Rhinolophus ferrumequinum: one gene and its partner. The protein of the gene in region 1 interacts with the protein of each later gene in a biochemical or structural test. Links are inferred from orthologs where the notes say so. Each region holds a gene or a part of one and is shown in the gene's direction. Other genes may lie near its edges.

Region 1 (10,533 bases):
AGTCATTCCCCATTTCTCCTACCCCTGGTCCCTGGCAATCAAGAGTCTATTTTCTGCCTCTATGGGTTTCCCTATTCCAGTCATGTCATATATAAATGGAATCATACAATGGGTGGCCTTTTGTGTCTAGCTTTTTCACTTTGCAGAATACTTTCAAGCTTTAAGATACATGTTGTAGCATGTATCAGTATTGTGTTCCTTCTTATTAACTAATACAATTCCATTATATGGATATACCACATTTTATTTATCCATTTATCAGCTGATATTTGGTTGTTTCTACTTTTTGGCTATTATGAATAATGCTACTCTGAACATTCATGTATACAAGGTTTTATGTGGAAAATATTCAACTTTATTTTTAGCTCATTTTTGCATGGTTCATTATATGCCAAAACCCATCTTAATTTAAGGTTAATTGATGTGCTTAGCATGAAAGTTTCCCAAACTACATTACTTTGTATTGATCATAAAAATGAGATTATGAACTGGTAAGATAGAAACTCATTTGATTTTTATGCAAACCATATGAAATAACCTTTCATTGACTTGGGCTCTAATTTACCTATTCCAACCAGAATATGTCAACGTGCATTCTGGATATAAAATCTGGACCATAGCATTTACAATTTAACCAATAAAATGGCATACACTGTGTTAGAGACAGTGTCCTTAGCAAGTTATAAAATTCTGTGAGACAGTTACAAAGATCTGAAAACATAGATACATTAAACATTACTAATCTATGTTAACTATATTCACAAATATATCTTTATTAACCCTTGTACTCAAGTTATTATTATGTGGCTACACTGATGCATTCACATAATATTAGACTTTGGCACACCTTCATTATTTGGATTAGTTTTATCATTGCCACTTTTATACTAATTTTTTTGATCCTTTATATGTTTCTCAAGTTTTATGCCAATTCATGTAAGATAATCTGATCTACCATAATTAGGAAGTTTTTGAGACTTCAATATAATATTCATTAAGGATGAAATTGTTTTTAGTGCATCTTTTCAACATTTTATACCTGCATTAATTTTTAAATGTAATTGTTTCTTTCAATACATAAAACCATAATCTTTTTAGTACATTGCAAACTGCAATTTTTTTTTTTTTTAAGATTTTATCGGGGAAGGGGGGAACAGGACTTTATTGGGGAACAGTGTGTACTTCCAGGATTTTTTCGAAGTCGTCGTCCTTTCAATCGTAGTTGTGGAGGGCGCAGTTCAGCTCCAGGTCCAGTTGCTGCTGTTAGTTGCAGGGGGCGCAGCCCACCATCCCTTGCGGGCATCGAACCAGCAACCTTGTGGTTGAGAGCCCACTGGCCCACGTGGGAATTGAACCGGGAGCCTTTGGCATTAGGAGCACAGAGCTCCAACCACCTGAGCCACCAGTGTGCCCACAAACTGCAGTATTTTTAAAAATGGTATTTTCCTTTCCTTTTTCAGATGGAAACATTTCAGTACCAGTATTAGTCAAATAAGTCAAGTGAATAAAGTCAGCTTTATTTGAAATTAAAAGTGGGCTCTCTCTAACACTACAAATGCAAATAGTATTTTAAGGTTTGAGTGAATACTAGACTACCTCAAGCCTCAAAATGCTTTCAAGCCATGTTTAGTTTTAACCTTAGCAAGACTGAGTAGAAACGTTAAGTTTGCTAGTGTAAATACAAACGGCATAATCAACCAATAAATTTACTTCATTCCCAAATAAATTGGGATTACACAATGGATAATCTAGAACTTCATATATTAGGATTTATTCATGTCATCATTTGTTGTATGAAATCTTGATAGTGGTCAATTAAAAAAACAGTGGCACCATTATAAAACAAAGTTTAATTTCAGATGCATGCTTGTAGGGCAGGGAAGGGCATGAGTGAATATCTTCATCTTCTAAGCAAAACTCCATTACAACAAAACTTCCTGTGGAACAATTTTCGAGCCCCAACTGGTAGCCTACTTATTTAAAGGTGGTGCTGAAGATAAGCAATAACTCTACAAAGGGAGAATTTAGAACATTCCTTTTAGTCACTGGATGGAATTTGACTTGGAATACTAAGAAATGCATAAATTTATGAGGTTGTTAATATGTATTTGCTGTACTAGTGGGCAAATTAATGTTGGCTAATAGTCGAAAGGCTAAAAAGTCAAACAGCTTAGTGGTTAAGAGTGTGAATCTTGAGGTCACGCTGCCTAGATTTAAATCCTGGCTCTACTTAATAATTATATGACCTTGAGTATTTCATCTGTATAATGGGGATTTGATGAGATAATGAATTAAAGGACTCAGCATATAGTACTTCAAATAATAATTATTAACACTTATTTTTAAGACTTTTTAATATATAGTATTTTAATTTCTTTCATCCTTGGTTATTTTCATTTTACAATTCTTCCACCACATCTTATTTGTAAAGATGAGTAATAAATAAGAGTGATATAGTAAAACCTAAGTTATCTAGAATGCATAGGAAATGAATCATTCTGGATAGTAAATTTTTCATAGGGTAACTTCATAGGCATCAAAATAACAAAAAAGTCAACAAATGGGATAAAACTATTTCCTAAACCTATTACACACTTCCATGCCTTCTTAAGGAGAGTATACTGGTGGTAAACTTTTTCTTGATGAATCACGATTGCTATGAATATCAATTACAATTCTATGTAATTCTGTGCTTATTCCAACAGGAATAAGCCTTAGGACTGACTCTACCTAAGGTTTTTCAAATATGTAGTTCATGGATAGAAATCAGGGTGTGAACTTGGATGTGAAAAAATAAATTTTTTATTTTTACTAATGTCTAAAAACTAGCATTTCCTTCCATTTTGAATGTAAGCAACAAACAGTTGTACCTATGTCTCTGTCACCAACAGAACTCATAGATACTTTATACTACAACTTTTGCAAACTCTAGAAATGTTTATGTTCATCACTATTTCAAAAATTTGGTCTTTACTAGACCCATCATTTGATCTTACTGTGTTAATAAACCACATATATTCCTATATCAAAAATTTGTTTTTCTTTAATATTTTGAGACTCTATTTCCAAATGTTTTCTTTTATAATGGGTATGAATTTTACATTATACATTTAAAAACATTATTTTGAGAAGAGTCCATGGCTTCACCAGACTGCCAAAGTAGTTTGTGGCACCAAAAAAATTAAGAACTCTCATTTAAAATCTGTCCCAGTCTGCTGTGCTCTGTTAATTCAGTGCCTTAACACGTGCCATTAAACTTTCATACTGAAGCTTATTTAAATTAGGGTAATACAAATTGGCTTCTCCAGGACTTTCATGGGCCTCTTGGATATTTTGAGTTCCCTTTGGGTAGGTAGGAATGTTTCCTACCACCCTTGAACCTTGGCTTCTGAAAGAACAAAACTATTACAAAGGGAGAAATTAGTCAAAATTAGATTAAGATGGCATTGAAAGTAGAAACATAAAACATCTTACTTTCTAAATTAAGAGACAATATGAAACTCCATTCAATACATACTCTGAAGTTAATTACTTGGTTTCAAATTCTACTTCTGCCATTTATTAGCTGTGTGGCCTAGGGACAGTAACTTAATCTCGCCATGCATCAGTTTCTTTATTTGTAAAGGGGGTTAACAAGCACAGTACCTGGTACATGACAAGTGTTCCATAAATATTACCTATATTAATATTCTTACAGATTTGTTTCACAATATGGCCAGTTAACGTCTGACAGATTAGTTTAATAACTTACATTTATACAGCACTTTATTCTACAGTGCCCTTTCACATACATTATGACATCTGAACCACATAATAACCCTGTGAGAAAGGACAGCTATTATTATGCCTTCTTTAGTGTTGAAGAAACTTAGAAAGTACCATATCACACAACTGGGAATAGAGCTAGAAGTCAAACCTGGATTTCTCCCTCCACTCCAGTCACCTAACCTGTGTTTCTACTATATTAGACCAGTTAAAAGAAAGAACAAAGCAAAGATGGTGGGGTGGGGGGAAGTGGGCAAAGGTGTCCTGTACACCATGAGGTGAGCACTTTAGTGCTTTGCTACTCTCACACAGGTCTTCTGTATAATCTTTATTAGAAATGTTTATTAGAATCTCAGGCTCTACCCCAGACTACTAAATCAAAATCCGCATTTTGAACAAAATCTCTAGGTGATTCGTATAGATACTAGTTTGAGAAGCACTGTTTCAGTAATTGCTCTAGTGACACTAGTATGGTCACTAGAACTGTATACCGGGGTACCAAAAAAATGTATGCAAATAGACACTTGGGTCAATGATGCTCAAGCAGTAGTTCACTGTAACCAGAAGTGTCTGGACGCTCATTGATGGTAACCATTTTGAGCACCTCTTGTAATTGCAAAAGTCAAATGTGACTTGTATTCATCTTTTGTTATCGGTATATTGAGTATTACAATTTTAATACAGCTTTCCTTTCTTTAAATGTGTTTACATTTTTTTGGCATCCTCTGTATATTAGCTCATTTATCACAACCTATGAAGTTTTAATTAGGTAATATTTCTTGTAACAGGAAATAACTTGCTGCTTTCCTATTTTAAAGTGTGTTTTTAAAAGAAGTTTGTATTTCATTTAATTCTTAGAGATCTCCACTTCGGTAAGTAGGGTCATTAAGTAATATTAGAAAACTTTAAGCTTCCTTTTAAAAATTAATGTCTTACTAACCTTTGCCCGAAGAAAACACTAGAGAGCAAAACCATCCTCTCCCATACTTCACAACAGGCAGATCAAAACAGGCCAATCTTATCCTTGTATTTCTTCCCCTGGATGTTTCAGTATTAAGTTTTTCTGACCCAAAACTTTGATTTATTGTTTGAGTTTCACAATGTTGTGGCTCTAGGAATGGACACATATCAACAGGAAGAAAAAGGTATTAAGTTTATTCCCATATTTAAACCATGGCGGATGGTGGAGTTGATTACAGGGACCAGTGAACAGCCCACCCCTATCTCCCTATCCTCCATTCTAATCAATTTAGTTGATCTGGATTCCTAAACTGCTCTGCTGGGAGCCGGTCTATGGGCCCGCTCTTCTCAGCATTTATCCTGTAGGGTCAACAATACACTAGATTCGGCAGGTAGGGTCGCTGATCAGCTGTCCGCTAGATTCTATTTTAAATTACTGTTCCCATTTTGAGGGGCGCCTCCTCCCTCTGGTTAACCAGCCCAGACCGGTAGGCGAGTAAAAGTCGCTCACCTGCTTCACCGGAAACTTCAAAAGCCCGGGTCAACCCGGACTAAAGGTATCTAGTAATTAATCCATGGTACCTCCCACCGCACATTCCTGATTGGGCGCGTGAGAGAGGGATGTGTCGGCGCGCGCTCTTACCAGTCCGGGGAATTCCATTTCCTCTCCCTCCCACCAGCATAAGCATTCAGGGGCGGTGCTTCCCCGGCGACCGACCGTCCCAGCCCCAGCCGGTGCCTCACTGCATCTCGCGAGAACTTGTGGTTTGAGGGCGGGCCCCGATCAGGAAAAGCGCACAAAACTGCCCTTAAATCATTGCAGACCTACAGCTCCTGTGAGCCAGCCACGAGGTTCTCGCGAGATCCGCCTCCTCAATACCAAGTGAGGAAATTGGGGGATGCTGCTGGGAGGGGCGTGGGGTCGGCCGCGCAGCTGCCGTTTCCATTACCTTCCTCCCATGGTCTCCTTCCGGTTCTCGATGCTTCTCTGAGTCTAAGGGTTTCCGCCGCTCGTCTACCCTTCCCCCCAGCCCATGACCCGCCTCCGGCCCCCGCCCTCCCTGTCCAACCTCCGATCTGTTTAGTAAGAGGGTGCTGTTCTAAAAAGAAAAAAAAGGGGGTAGCACACACTCAGTTCTGGACTTCGGCAGTAAACCGTCCCCCTGCATCCTTAGATTCGTCCTGTGCTCGCGACGGCGGCGTTGGCGGACTGATACGCGGCGGTGAAGAGGCAGGAGGAGGGGGGAGGGGCGGAGCGTGGCAGCTGGCAGTAGTTCCGTCAGAGCGGACATCTTGTGGCTGTGTCGTGCGCGTGAGCCCCGTAGGGCCGGGGAGGCACCAGCTGCCGCGCGGGGAGGAGGCCGAGGCCGCAGCTTGAGGGAGGCCCCGGCCCCTCAGTACGCGTGGGTGTGGAAGGGAAGGGTGGCTGGCCCAGTGGCCGGCCGGGTAAGAGGGGAAACACAGGCCCTGGGTGGCTTGAGTGACCAGCCTGTTGGGTGGGGTAGGGTGGGAAGGCTGGAGAAGCCGGGGCCTCTTTTGCTTAAGGGGGAGGGGGAATGGGCGCGTCCTCGCGCCTAAGTCGGAGCCTCAGGGGCCGCACGGGCGCGTGGTGGCGGTGGCTGGGCGGGCGCGCGCGGGAGCGCGCTGGAAGGCGGAGTGTACAGTGGCGTCAGGGGCGACACAGAATAGCTTAGGTGCGGGGACAGCGACAGACATCCAGCTTCTCTTTATTTCCTTTCCCTTCCTGGCCGCACCTTTGAGTAGAAACCGAAAGAAGCCTGGCGTCAGTCCGGAGCCTCCTGCTGCCCCCTCCCCCTAGCCTTTCTTTGCCCTAGTGACGCGGGCATAGCGCCGACTAGGCCCCGGCTCCTCCTCTGCTGGGCTCCGGACCCTGCCCCGCACCCACCCCTTTCTCCTACGCCTCTTCCTCTCCCACCCGGGTCTCTTCCTTTCGAGAGGCCGGGAAGTCAAACTTGTAGCCACCCCTCCGCTCTTCCTGTCACTCTCGCCCCCTCTTCGGGCCGAAGCTCGGCATAGAGGCTGTTGCCACGCCACCCCACCCACCCCGGATCGCGGCCGTTTTAAGGGACCTGGATTCATCGGGGTCTCTCCGGGGCCTGTTCGAGTGCTGATCTGCTCCGTTTTTGCAAAAGGCGCCTGTGTCTGGCAGAGCCGGTGTGAGACGAAGAGACAATCCTTCCCTTCCGCCGGGATAATCAAGAGTTTTGGCCGGACCTTTGAGCACACACCAAGATAGTGAGGAGCCAGACGCAAAGCACAGACTATGGCGCTGAAACGGATTAATAAGGTAACCTATGGAGCTGGAGGGGACGGGGTCGTGGGAGGAAAGCAAGGCTCAGGCCCGGAGGAAGCATGAGGTGGAGGAAGTATAATTACGAAAATATCCTTCCTTGCGTCGTTCCTTCCATTGGGGGATGGGGAACGGGGGTATAGTTATGAAGGTTTATGAGGTTTAAAGGTAGGGAACGGAATACTCGTGGCAAGTGGGGTGTTATCTTTAGTATGTTTCAGCGGAATCTGCAAATTCGGGATTGGGGAGAGTGATTTCAGGCGCTTGGATTCTGCCTCTAAAGGAAGAGTTAGTCCTCTGTCGGGGGGTCAGAATTGAGGAGAGACGCACCGGCAGATGTCATGGCGTTTCCTATTCTCGGTACCTGAAAACTTATTTTAGTTGTAAGATCAAGGCTCTAGGCTTTGTAGGGGGAAGAAAGTAGGAAGCTCCGCGGAGAAAAAGGATCAGAAATCCAGCGGGTCCCGAACTTTGTTAGGGGTCGGGGTAGAAGTCTTCTGCCAGCGGAAGAGTAGTGAATGAGTCTAATTAGAAACTCTTTATCACTGCGCGGGTTACACAAGAATAAGTGGGGTTGGGAGGAGATGGGCTGACACAATGTTACTACTTCCTACGGGTCAGACTTCTCACCCGAAACTATTAGGAGCACACCGGGAACTGATGTAAAAAGCCTTCTGGAAGCTCCCTTTCTCTTTGGGCTTGTGGGGGGTGGGGGGAGGGTGCGATGGCAGTAAGCTGTGGTTAGGTGTACCTATTTATGCCTCGGCCCATTTAATAACACCCTCCGGGAAGATTGTTGCACTGCTTAAAACGTGGTTTGATGCTAAACTATCGATCTAAGTTGGGGGGAGGGGGAGGATTTTTCGAGTCGGGGTGAGCGGAACCTCCACCTCCGGTGGTTTAGTCTCATTTTCTTGCTCTTAACTTCTATCCCGCATTTTAAGATGGCGGCTGCTTTAACTGGTTCAGGCTCTTTCCGGCATCTCCTTTCGTAATAATGAAATAATATTCTTTGTTAAATGTTAACTTTTACATTAGGTCGTATACTGCTCTAAGACCTCCTGCTCAAGATTTAACTATATTCAAACTCTCAGACCATATTTCCCCTTTTTTGTAACTTGTGTATGTGTGGTGTGTTCGGTTCTTGCACAATCGAGGAGGGTGGAGTATTTACAGCTAACTTGAAAAAAATGTCATGGAATAAATTCAGCCTTACTAAAACTAGGAGACCGGAGGTTGTAGGTTAGAATCTTTCGTTTTGATAGGTTACTTTTTTAAAGAGTTCTACATGGAAGGAATGGCAAGGACTTGGCCTTACTTATGATGGCGGCTTAATTCTCTATTTAATACGTGTGACTTTGGTGTTTATTTGGCAAAACTGGTCTTTTATGAAAGATGAATGTTTAGGTCTTTACTCAGTGTATTGATGCTGAAATCTTAGATTTTGTTTTAGACCATTGCATTGTCATTGTGGGTTTATGTGAAATACAAGTTTAAATCTTTGTATATTTGAGGAGATGGAAAAGGAGAGGAAGTTAAACTTTTTAGGAGTTAAGACTTAAAGTAAAAAGGATTATTTATAAACACCCCCTTTTTTTGACCCTTTGAAGGCCAGAAACACATTGGAGAAGCATAGTTATGTTTTACAGCATAGTTAATACAAAGAAAGTAATATTTAGTACAAATCAAAACCTTTTTATGGGAATTTAGGCCACTAAGGTGTGGAATAATTTCAAATCCTTAGCTTTTTATGCATGTGGAATAGAACACTTTAAAGGGAAGTCTCACTGATTTTTTTTCTTTTACAGGTGATAACCAGCTGCTGTGACACCACTTTAATGATTTAAAAGCTCTAGAAGGGCAATATAATGGTTAAGAGTGTGAACTTTAGAGTAAAAATGATCCAGTTAGAATTGTTGGACTGGGCAAGCTATCTGTGTGCTTCTATAAAATGAATATTTGTTTTATATGAACAATAAATAGTTGAATGCCTAGTATATACTGGTTGCTATTTTAGACACTAGGGATGCAGCAGTGAGCAAAACAAATTTTAGATTTCTAGATTTTTTTATTTTAAGGATTAAATTGGTTAATATGTGGTTTTGAACAGGTCCCTGGCATACAGACTTGACATAATGACTTTCCAACATTGGGACTTTATTGATTTAACCTATAGAAAAGTTTTGGCATGTACGTAGTTTGCTTTTAAAGAGTTACTGTCATAATCACAGTGAAACTTAAAAACAAAAACAAAAAATCCCAGATTCAAACAACTTATGGGAGATGCTCTTTATTTTAGGCACCCTGTTCTAGAAATATGAGGTCAAGTAGGCATTGATGTTAGTATGGTATTTCTTGTGTCATGTACCTGTTTATTTTAATTCTCACCTGAAGTCCTCGAATTCCAAATATTAAGATGTATCTGTATTTCTCACTTAATGAAATGCTTATTGTTGGGATATCTAACCATTGGTAGTTCGTTTAATCAAGCCTTTGAATTTGCTTTTTTCCAAAGCTTGAGTTCTTATTTCTTGTTTGTTTGAATATTTCTTAGACCAAGCAACCTTATCAAACAACCTTATTTTTTGTTTTTTTGCTATATTCTTTATTTGGAACAAGCTGTACTATGGTCTTATAGGGCTATTTATTAAATAACTATAATCAAAAAGGGGAACTCCAAATTGATTGGTGGTGTTTGGGAGTCAGACAGTTTTACTACTCCCATTAAAATAACTACAGTGCATGTGTTTTTGGGAAGTTTAAAGAGAATTTTACATAAAATATAATGTGAACCAAGCCTAAAAGGACAATAGCTCATGCTTTGAGTATTTGCAACATGTCAGAAATGTTTGAAACACTTACATTAAGTCATTTAATCTTAACCCAAGGAAGTAGGTACAGTTTATTGTCCTCATTTTGAGATTAGAAACTTTGAGACAGAAGTTAAAACCACCCAGCAGTGTACTGTGGCAGAGTTGGGATTAGAACCTAGGCAGTCTGGCTCCACAGTGTGTGCTCTTAACCACTACCCTGTCATGTCATGCTTTAGGTTTTTGGTATTCAGAAAAGTTTTCTTTTGCAAGTATCATTCTGCTATTAATAATAGCTACATCTTAGCATCTACTGGGTCGTAAACACTGCTTCTAAACTCTTTGAGTATAAACTCAATTCCCACAACAATCTTGGGATAGATGCTCTTACCACTACATTGTATGCAAGAGAAAACACACGAAGAGATTAAGTCACTTGTCTATAATCACAGAGCTAGTAAGGGACCGGGATTCAAATGAGATAGTCTACCTCAAGAACTCAAGCTTTTAAACTCCATGCTGTACTGCTATTTCGAACCATTTAAATTCTTGTTTTCTAGTTAGATGAATGAACGTCATATTACTCTTGGCTACCTGAAGTAAGAACTCCTCTCCCACTTCACATTTAAATGGGATTAAACTTTACTTTTAGGTTATAGCTAATTTGTGAATTAAGATTTTTAGCTG
Region 2 (10,245 bases), on another chromosome or scaffold:
AATTACAGTCACTCCTCAGATCTCCTCAGACACCTTCAGATCTATTTGGAAAAATAGCAAGAAATCTAATGTTACTCATAAAAAGAAGAAAAAGGTACGTTTTTGGATGTTCGTGCCCGAGTCACATCTACCAGGGAGCGCTGTATGGAGCGTAGGCACTGCGCTGGGTGGGGTGGACCGTGCAGCCGGCAGATTTTGCACTTGATAAAATCATGAGAATTTTGGCTCTCGGTTCCAGTCCCCTAAACCATCGTTCCATTCTGTTGGATGATGGTTGCACAAAGGGACAAGTAGTAAGGAAGCAAGATAGTTCCTTCCAGTATCAGTGCAAACACTGCCTCCTCTCTTTAACTCTCCCCCACACACCCCAGGCTACCCATATCATGGTTCCTGTTAGCTTACAGTGGGCCTGCAATGGTGAGTTTACCTAAAGTCTTTATGAAGCATGTGCTACCTCTTAAGGGGTAATGATTTACATATGTTTACTCTCTATTGTATGAAGTTGAACTTTTTTTTTTTAATTTATGATTTCCTGTTCATTATTTCACAGGCTAAAACCTGAGTATGGATGTTATCTATTTCCATGGCCAGACATGCCTAGGAAGATATTGCTTGTTCTATAATAAAATTTTTCACTATAACCAGGCCCCTTTCAAGTTCTAAATTTTAACAAGACTATTTTATGAAACTTCCAAGTAGTGTTAATCCTATATCATGCTTGTCATTCTCTAAAATGTGGGTTTCACAAGTAAGCCTTAGTAAAAATAAGTGGAATTCCTCTTGGGGGCTCCTTCTCTTGTGCATATGAAATTTATAATTTGAAGAAAGTCATGATCTTTATCTAAGAAAGAAAGAAAGAATCTGCTTTCATAAATACATCTATAGTTGGGAACAATAGGAATGTTTGGAAATAATAACCACTTTCTAAAAGACAACATCCCCCAAAATGGCGATCTTACCCAAATGAGGAAACTTCTAATCATTTTACCTCGAATGAAGATGTCAGAAAGCTCCATGGGAAATGTAAGAGGTGTTGTTGATCAGTGTATGGATTATAAATTGGATTAGTTGCATTGTATGTGCTGTGACAATATGGTGCATAGGAAAGTATGGGCCAGGAATTAGATAAGTCAGAATTCTCTGTGGAAACATGCTGCTTTCCATGTGTCTGACCTTGAGCAAGTCAGATAACCTCACTGTGCCTCAGTTTCTCCTTATGTAAGATACAGATAAGAATAGCACCTTTCTCATTTGGTGAGCATTGAATGAGGTGACACAGGTCAAGCTTTCTAGGACAATACCTATTTCATAGTACATGCTTAAAAATAAATGTTAGTGGCTACTATTATAGCTGTTATTATTGATGTTAAAGTTGAGTGATTCCAGTTATTTCACTTAGAACAGCTGAACAGGGAAAATACAAAAGAAAAGAAAAAAGACTTAAGACCTTTTTATTATGTTAAAAAAAAAACCCTGTCATTTATTCTATGTACAAATTCTGGCAGGTTCGTGGAACCAAACTCCCTAGAAGTGGGGATGGGTATAGTAAATTATGTCCACTTCTGAGGATCTTAACATCTAGTTAGCAAGCCAAGATCCTCATACATTAAAAGTAAACAACAATAGAGCTTAAGAGTTAAAATAATATACCGTATTTTGCCGTGTATAATGTGCTCCCATGTATAACATGCAACTACATTTTTGGCCCAAAGTATCAGGGGGGAAAATCTTTCATTTTAATTTTTTAATTCAAATTTTTATCTGTTTACATTTAGGTACTTGCTTTTTGTATTATAAAGGAATTTTAGCATTTAGTTTTTAACATATTATGGTACAAGAAATTTTATGTAACAAATAATCACAAAACACAAGAACAGATACAAGGTACAAGAAATTTTATGTACTGGTAACAAATTTACGGTATTTATACATTATAGAAGGCCAAGAACTCTTTATTGTTGCAAGTTTGTTGTAAATTCAACAAAACTGATGATCCTGTTCCAGGGTATTATTTTGCACATGGGTATCATTATTGATTTACAGAGTTACACTTTTAACTCATAAGCATAAATAAAAGAATTAAAACCATTTATTTAAATACGGAATTAGTATTACCCATGTATAATGCGCACCCTTATTTTTCCCTCACAAATTTGGGCAAAAAAGTGTGCATTATACACGACAAAATATGGTAACTTATCTATAGAATTTATATATCCAATGTGTGTGGCTTCCTTAGAAATTGTTACTGCTTAAAAAATAAAATAAAAAATATCTTTTTTGAAATTTTCTACTAACATCTGCTGGGTGGGAATATAAAGTCTGTGTGTCTCTTTAAAGATCTTTTGGCAATGTCTATCAAAATGAAAACCACAGAGCTTTTGACCCAGGCATTTTACTTCCAGAAATTTATATTACAGATGTAGTCTCACACGTGTGCAAGGAAATATGTATAGAGATGTTCACTGCAGCACTGTTTATTAAACATTGAAAACAACTAAATGTCTCTCAAAGGGTTCTCAGTGAAATAAGTCACAGAAAATGTATGTGTTGGAATACTATACAGCTGTTAAAAAGAACAATGTGGATATGTAAGTGCTTATCTGTAAAAATGTCCTAATAATACTATTAAACAAAAAAAGCAGGTTAGAGACTAGCATATATGAAAAATTCATATTAAAGACAACTGATATAATATGAGCCAGAAATTCCAATTCTGGGTATACGTCCAAAAGAATTGAAAACAAGATCATGAAGAGATATTTGTACAGCTGCGTTTGTACAGCATTATTCCCAGTAATCAAACAGTAGAAGCAACCCAAATGTCCATTGGCACATGAGTGGATAAGCAAAATGTGCCATATTAACACAATGGAATATTATTCAGCCTTAAAATGGAAGGAAATCCTTCCTACAATATGGGTGAACCTTGAGGACATTATGCTAAGTGAAATAAACCAGTTACAAAAAGACAACTAGTGTATGATTCCACTTATATAAGGTACCTAAAGTAGTCCAGGTGAGAAGCAGAATGTGAAATGGTGGTTTGCCAAGGGGAGGGAGGAGGGGGAAATGGAGAGTTGTTGAACGGATGTGGAGTTTCAGTTTGGGAAGATGAAAAAGTTCTGGAGGTTGATTGCATAACAATGTGAATGTACTTAATACTATTGACATGTGTACTTTAAAATGGTTAGGATGGTAAACTTTGTTATGTGTATTTTACCACAATTAAAGTTTTAAAAACTTCAGTTGATGTATTGTGTGTCTGCTTGTACATATGTAGAAATTTCTGGAGAGTCTATTAACAGTACTAGCTTTTTTTTATTGCATACTCATTTCACTATTTAATGTTTTTATCATTTATGAACTGTCAATTTAAAAAACTTAAAATGGTTGAATAAACATCAGTAACAGCACTTTTTGGTTGCTATGTCACCTGATGCCAAAAGACTAGAAGAAACACAATTTTGTTATAATTTCCTGGGAGAGCATAATAAATGGTGGGAAAGAATGGTCAGTGAGAACACAAAGATGAGTAAGTTTTTCCTAAATGCAGAGGGCAATTCAGCCAAAGCAGGCAGAGGAAGTTCTGTGTAATTTTAGGGATGTTAAAAGGTGAAGGAAAAAAAAGTCCGGGGTATGTTTAGATGACTGAGCAGACCAATCTGACATGGGCTTCAGGGAGTGCTTGGGAATTACACTAAAAAAGTACATTGGGGCCATATTGTGGCAGGATTTAATGACCAACTGGGTCATTCAGATTCTGTTCAGATGATAATTCAGAGCCATGGAACATTTTGAACAGGGGAGTACCAGGTAGAAAGGGGATATAGGAGAATTAAACAGGCACACTAGATTGAATGCCAGTTAGACTGGGAAGGAGAGACAGGAAGGAAGTCGGACACAATAATCCAGGGGCAGGGTGATGAGGTTCAGACTCAGCATGGGCACGTACCACTCCTCATCTTTAACCATCCTCTAACCTTTCCTCTTTTCACCTGAGTTTCCCTGTGTTTCCCTTTCAAACTGCCCAGTTCCTACCAACTGGGTGCATTTTGTCCTCATTTGGTTTGCAGCCTTCTTCTTGCTTTTTTTAAAATTTTTTTTTAATTAGCTATCTAAGAGCACTTGTAGCCATCTCTAGTCAGATGTGTGGTCACTTAATATGAACAGAACATGTATCGTATATAGTTCATCTGGGTTTGTTTATAGGCATTTTTGTTTGGCTCATAAAGTTAGTGTGTTCAGACTTATATCTGCCGCCACTACCACTGCTCTGCTCCAGCTCATAGATGTTTGCTTTCTTCCTTCATTTTCTGGCCTCCAGGGTCTCCCAATTCCCCCCATTTCAAACTTCACCTCTTTCATGAGGCTTTTCCTCACTGCATCAGTCCTCAGGAATGTCTTTCTCCCTCCCAGCACTTAACACACCACTCAACAAACAGCACACATTAGCATCTAGTCAAATATGACCTTGTGTCCATATTTATATTTGATGTAGTTATGCATCCTTGTCTTTTCTGCCAGGCTCCTTGAGCTTGGTTAGCCCCCACCCAGGTACAAAGCCTGGGGGCACCAGGAGATGAGGGGATGATGGGTGGACCAGTAAAAGCTGAGGCTCAGAATCCCAAACCTGACACAGCAGGTGTCCACCACTAGATGGTGATGGCAATCAGGCATCTCCTTAGGCTCTCTGTGCCTCAGCTTTCTTATCTTTTAAATGGAGGTGTCTGCTTTGCTTGGGAAGACATAATTCTATGACTCTGGGCTAGCAATAGAAGAACCCTGGCTTCAAAACTGTCACCATCACGTAGCAGCTATGTGCTCTTTAAGTTACTTCCCTGGACCTCATTCCTCCCACATATAAAAGGTTAAACCAGAGGTTCTCACAGAGTGGTCCCCAGGATTTCTGGGCTCCTTTCAGAGGTCAAAACTATTCCCATAACAATATTCAGAGCTATTTCTCTTTTCACTCTATGAATGTACAGAGTTTTCCAGAAGCTACATTATTATATGTGATGCCATCGCTCCAATAATAACTCGTAATGGGTTTATTACTGTTATTTTAAAATGGATTAATATATTTAAATTTTTTCATCTTTTAATTTCTTAAAAAACAAATATATACAGAGGGTGCCAAAAAGATGTATACACATTTTAAGGAAAATGTATCAAAATTGTGCTGATGGTAACCACTTTGAGCACCTCTTGTAATTGCAGGTGTCAAACCTAAGACTTGTGTTCATCTTTTGTTAGGTATATATGGAGTATTACAATTTTAATAGTTTTTTCCCTTTCTTAAAATGTGTATACATGTTTTTTTGGCACCTTCTGTATTGTCCACACAACAAGAGCTCTTTAATTTTTAAGTATAAAGGCGTCCTGAGACCAAAACGATTGAGGAACCATTGAACCAGATTTCTAGAAGATCATTAAGGTCATTCACTCAACAAATAACTGGGCCTCCTGTGGCCAGGCATTTCTTTTTTTCTGATAAGGAGGCCAAGGTGACGATAAAGACATGGGCCCTGCTCTGCTGGAGTTTACATTTGGGAGGGACGACAAACGGCTATGTTAAGGAGATAATTTCTGAGAGTAGTAAGTTTCATAACGGCCTAAGGCAGCTCTCACGACAGTAACACCCGACAGCGCGAGGGCCGCCCTCCTGCCGGTGGTGGCCCCTGGGCCCTCAGCCCTCTACGTTGTCCCAGCATGGGGCGGGGGTGGGGACTGCGTCCGAGAGCTGGCGTGTGGTGACGTCACTGCCCCGCGCCAGCCAATCGCGGGCGACCTCTGTCGTAAGCACCGCGGTGGCGGGCGGCCTGCGGGCGGCGCTGTGGCCCGTCGGGCGGCCCGGCAGAGCCGCCATAGCCGCGTGCCTTCCCCTAGCCAACGTCTCCGCCGCCGGCTCCGCGCCGTAGTCATGGCCGACGTGGAAGACGGCGAGGAGCCCTGCGCCCTGTCCTCTCACTCCGGGAGCGCAGGCTCCAAGTCGGGAGGCGACAAAATGTTCTCTCTCAAGAAGTGGAACGCGGTGGCCATGTGGAGCTGGGACGTGGAGTGCGATACGTGCGCCATCTGCAGGGTCCAGGTGATGGGTAAGCGCTGCACGCTAGGCCCGGGCTGCGCTCCGGCCTGCGCGGGTCCGGGTCCGGGACGGGGGACGAGCGAAGGCTCGGAGAGACCCTTACCTGGAGGAGTGGGGGCGGGGATCGCTCTGTCCCGGCCGGTGCTGGGGCGGCCGCCAGGGGCGGTGGGGTCGCTCAACAGACGCACAGTGCCTGGGGCTGGATTTTCGGGGGAGAAACTGGCAGTAAACAGAGGAATTAAACAAGATAATTTCAGGTAGCGATGGGTGTGGCCAAGAAAATACTACTAGGTGGTTTTCTGGGAGCTGGGAGGAACCGCTTTGGTACGTGTAGCCAGTCCCAGCCCTGCGCTAAAAGCAAACCACAAAGAGGTCAGGGTAAAGGTCCTGATTTCGCAGAGCAACTTGAATGGTTCTGGTCACACACCAAAGTGGTGCTCTGGTCATCTTCCACAAAAGCGACACCCTCGGTGCTGCTGTTGAGAGATGCAGGGAAGAAAAGTGTTCCCAGCCATTGCATTCATTTCTGGATTAGCTACGGTTGTGCTGCTGCTGGCCATTAAATCTGTGCGATTCAAGACGGGTCAGACGGCACTCGCCTGGCTTGAAGGAGATTACATGTGGTTCAAAAATATTTAAGTGTCGTGGGAATTGAATAATGTGAGCCGTTTACTCAGAAACAGAATTTCATCCCCTTCCTGGCCCCTCACTCTCATAGCTTGCCATTTCCTGGAGAAGACAACTGCCCTGCGCTGAGTCAGGTCTTTGTGGAGAACCCGCTTTTACAAATATCTTACTTCTTTTTATATTTTGAATAAAAATGTCGGACCAAGTGAAACCTTTGAGAGCAGCTTCATCCCGTTTTTGTCTTATATGGTTTGTTTTAGAGTCTCAGGCCACCTTGAAAAGGAGGCGCTGTTTAAATGCAAGTTGTATATTTAAGTATGGCATTTAAAACTACTGTGAGAGCATCCAAAATGTTGTTTCTTAGGGGTAGATGAAGAAAATTGAGGTTTCTATAGTCTTGAGGTTTCTACTGTCTTGCACTGAAAATGCGAGAATTGGAGAAAATAAATAAAATCGTTGTTCCTTCTTGAGGGATAAAACTTTTAAATTTACCAGAATCAAGAGATTTCTCAATTTATAGTCTCTTTAGTGTGCTGTCTTGTTTTTTATTCATAAGGACCTGTTTCAAAGAGGATTTACAGCAAAATGGAGTTCAGATGTTTTTTGTTTTGTTTTAAAGAGCTTAACTTCAGACATGACTCACTTATTTTGTACATTAGGTTTTTAAAACACCTCGTTTATTGGCCTGCAGTGCAGCCTTCTTATCCCATACCCCACCCATTACTTAGGAATTACAATCATAATTTCCAGTTTGGGTGGCATTTTTAACTTATACAGGTGACTTAATTTTTTTGCTTTTTTGCAAGACTGGCTTTGCTAAAAATTTTGTCCCCTAAATTTCCTTTAGTCTAAAAATGAAGAATGTTTCTAAAAGCGCATTTTCTTCCCCCCCCAAAGAAAACTTTAAAACTAGTAAGTAGAAATGCAGAATTTAATGGTTGAAATCTTGCAGCAAATAAACTTTAACTGGGATATTTAAAGTAAGTCAAAGTATGGGCTATAAATGGCTCCATTCACAGTAACTTTCTAATTATAGCAAGTATTCTGCTACTGTGGATTAATGTTGCAGGTTTACAACAGCTATACTTTGAGTTCAGGGAAGTACTATAGACTAGACCTTTGTATTTTGTTTATGAGGTGTTAAAATCCACTTAGTGGTCAGGTAAACAGCAGAAGGAAATTTTTCAGACTTCCCAATCCTTATCCTACCATTACTCTAAAAGATGTTACTATTACTGCACTCCTTAAAAAAATACTGTTTTAGATACTTTTTTCTTTTATCTGAAACTTTGGGAATTTTTGTCAGTTTAGGTCAGTTTTTTATCATGAGTCTAAATCAAAGCTATAAGCATAAATCAGAGATTTCTAGATTCTACAAAAAAAGCCCACTTAACCCATTTCCTTAATACTTGGAATTCATCTCATATGCCTAAATGATTTATTATGACTTCTTGATCCAAGATTTGTCTGTCTACCCGTTTTGATGTTAACACTCTCCTCCTTGGTTTCCACTCTCCTCCCTTCATTCTGAAATGAGCAGATGGCACAGGGAAACCAGGGACCAGACTTGGTCATTTTAGTGTCATGCCCCCGTGCATAACTCCTTGCACAGAGTAGATCCTCAGTAATTGTGGAATTGAAGAAAGTCTTAGGAGGCAGTAGTTGTTTTTAATCCACACTGAAGAGGCCTGGGTGGTGTGTTTTTTTAGGGTAAAGGCATGCAGGGAGAAGCAAACAAATGGCCTGTGCATAATCCAGTGTAAGAAGAGAAGCAGGCTTCAGCTCCACCGTGTGTCTATTTTTACAGAATTAGTTTCTCCAGTTTATGTTAAAAACTTTTTTTCTGTTGGTTTGAACTTCCTTTTACCCAAGTTTGACTCCTCTTCCAGCTAGTGAATAAATCCATTCATTAGTCCCTGGCATATTGTATATTAACCTCCTTCATCAAGCAAATAGTACAGAGTGAATTTTGAAAATTTCTAATTATACCCTTTAGGTTCCCATTCCTAGTATTTACTCCCACATAATTTGTTAAAAAACCTTTGCCATTGTTGGATAAATGCTTTGGGCTCAGACTTATTTGTAAAGGGAGTATTTTCGTAAAATAAAAATAAAAATAAAAAGAGAACCTAGTATTTAGAAGGTATTTTTAATTAATTTAATTCATTTTAATTTGATTGCATAGATTATACAGTCACATCATTCAAAAATTTAAGAAAATGTACAATGAAAACTCCTTCCCATTCTATCCTCTCCCAAGTAAACTTTATTATTGGTTTCTTGTATCCTTCTAGAGTTTCTTTATGTATGTACAAGCAAATACCAATATATATATACATGGCTTATTTAAAAGGGTGTCTTCAAAATAAACTGCCCCTAGGTGTTGTTCTATGTGAGCATGCCCAGTGAGCTTATAATAACTAATAATAGAGTGGAGGATGGCATATTTTTCTCTAGTGGTTGCATCCACTGTCAGGACATCTTTTCATTAGAGTTTATAAAAATAGAGGGTCGGTAACCCTTGTGAAATTGCTCCTGATCATGAATAAACTAGTAAAGTGCCTTGTACTTTATTCACCTTTAAACAGTACGTTCAGACAAGAAATTAATAGTATGAGTCTTTTAGCTCCATCTCTAACCCTTTGGGCTCTTATTTGACTTTAAAGTGTCTGGGTTTTAAAAATTGCATTCTGAGCATCAGAATGAGAATTGCTATTTGTTTACTTTTAGATGCCTGTCTTAGATGTCAAGCTGAAAACAAACAAGAGGATTGTGTTGGTATGTTGTCATTTCGTACTCTTGCTTTTTCAACTGAAGGTTTTCTCTCAGTGGGGATGTTTGAATTTGCTGTTAAGATTGACTTTATCAATACACGAAAATAAACTGTAAAGCAGTGATCCATTATTAATATAAAATGTGTTAGTTCTCAAAAGGCCTTAATGGAATTAATCTGCAAGTTCTTTTATTATCTGTAATTAAGAAGAATTGGTTATATGTTCCAGACATGGGCATAGTAAATATTTTGATAATCAAAAAAAATAAATAATTCCTTTCTATTAAAATTATACAATAAGGAATTTGCCAAAACATTTAAATTCTGACTATGTTTATAGGTAGGTCAGTTTTGGTAGTGTTTTATTCTAATAAAGCATTTCAGTTTTCAGTATTCTTTTGTGATATAGTATTTAACTTTTTAACTAAGATAGAAAAAATTCTAAGTCTCAAGAACTTCGGGGAATGTAGTTTGTATATAGAAATCTATTAAATTTTCCTTATAGTCTGGGACTACCAAGATTCTCTTAGGCTAAATGTTTTAAACAATTCAAAGGTTTTCATGTCCTCGTACTTGAAATCATCACTTCTAGATTGCTGTATGAAAGTGTTTAAACATTTTCCTAGAATGAATGGTGAACTTATACTTTGCGTTTTTGTGGTTTACATAACAGCTTCCTAATAATGATTTATGTCATTTTGATCAAATCCTGTTTCTTCCTCCTGAAACATTAGAATGATTCCCCCTTGCTTTTTAC

The links.
Region 2: the proteins of UBE2D3 (region 1) and RNF7 form a complex in vitro, tested with the Homo sapiens proteins (5 studies listed by BioGRID). The link is inferred for Rhinolophus ferrumequinum from reciprocal best matches to the Homo sapiens genes UBE2D3 and RNF7.

What each region holds. Positions count from the first base shown.
Region 1 is NC_046288.1:53,686,999-53,697,531, reverse strand, and holds the start of UBE2D3 (ubiquitin-conjugating enzyme E2 D3), read left to right. Parts: upstream 1-5,478; 5' UTR 5,479-5,608; intron 5,609-5,967; exon of another isoform or gene 5,968-6,171; intron 6,172-6,878; 5' UTR 6,879-7,009; coding exon 7,010-7,033; intron 7,034-10,533. UniProt on the Homo sapiens protein: Accepts ubiquitin from the E1 complex and catalyzes its covalent attachment to other proteins. In vitro catalyzes 'Lys-11'-, as well as 'Lys-48'-linked polyubiquitination.
Region 2 is NC_046300.1:40,075,442-40,085,686, forward strand, and holds the start of RNF7 (RING-box protein 2), read left to right. Parts: upstream 1-5,808; 5' UTR 5,809-5,923; coding exon 5,924-6,098; intron 6,099-9,445; coding exon 9,446-9,493; intron 9,494-10,245. Other genes in the region: uncharacterized protein LOC117036621, read left to right, coding at 1-205. UniProt on the Homo sapiens protein: Catalytic component of multiple cullin-5-RING E3 ubiquitin-protein ligase complexes (ECS complexes), which mediate the ubiquitination and subsequent proteasomal degradation of target proteins.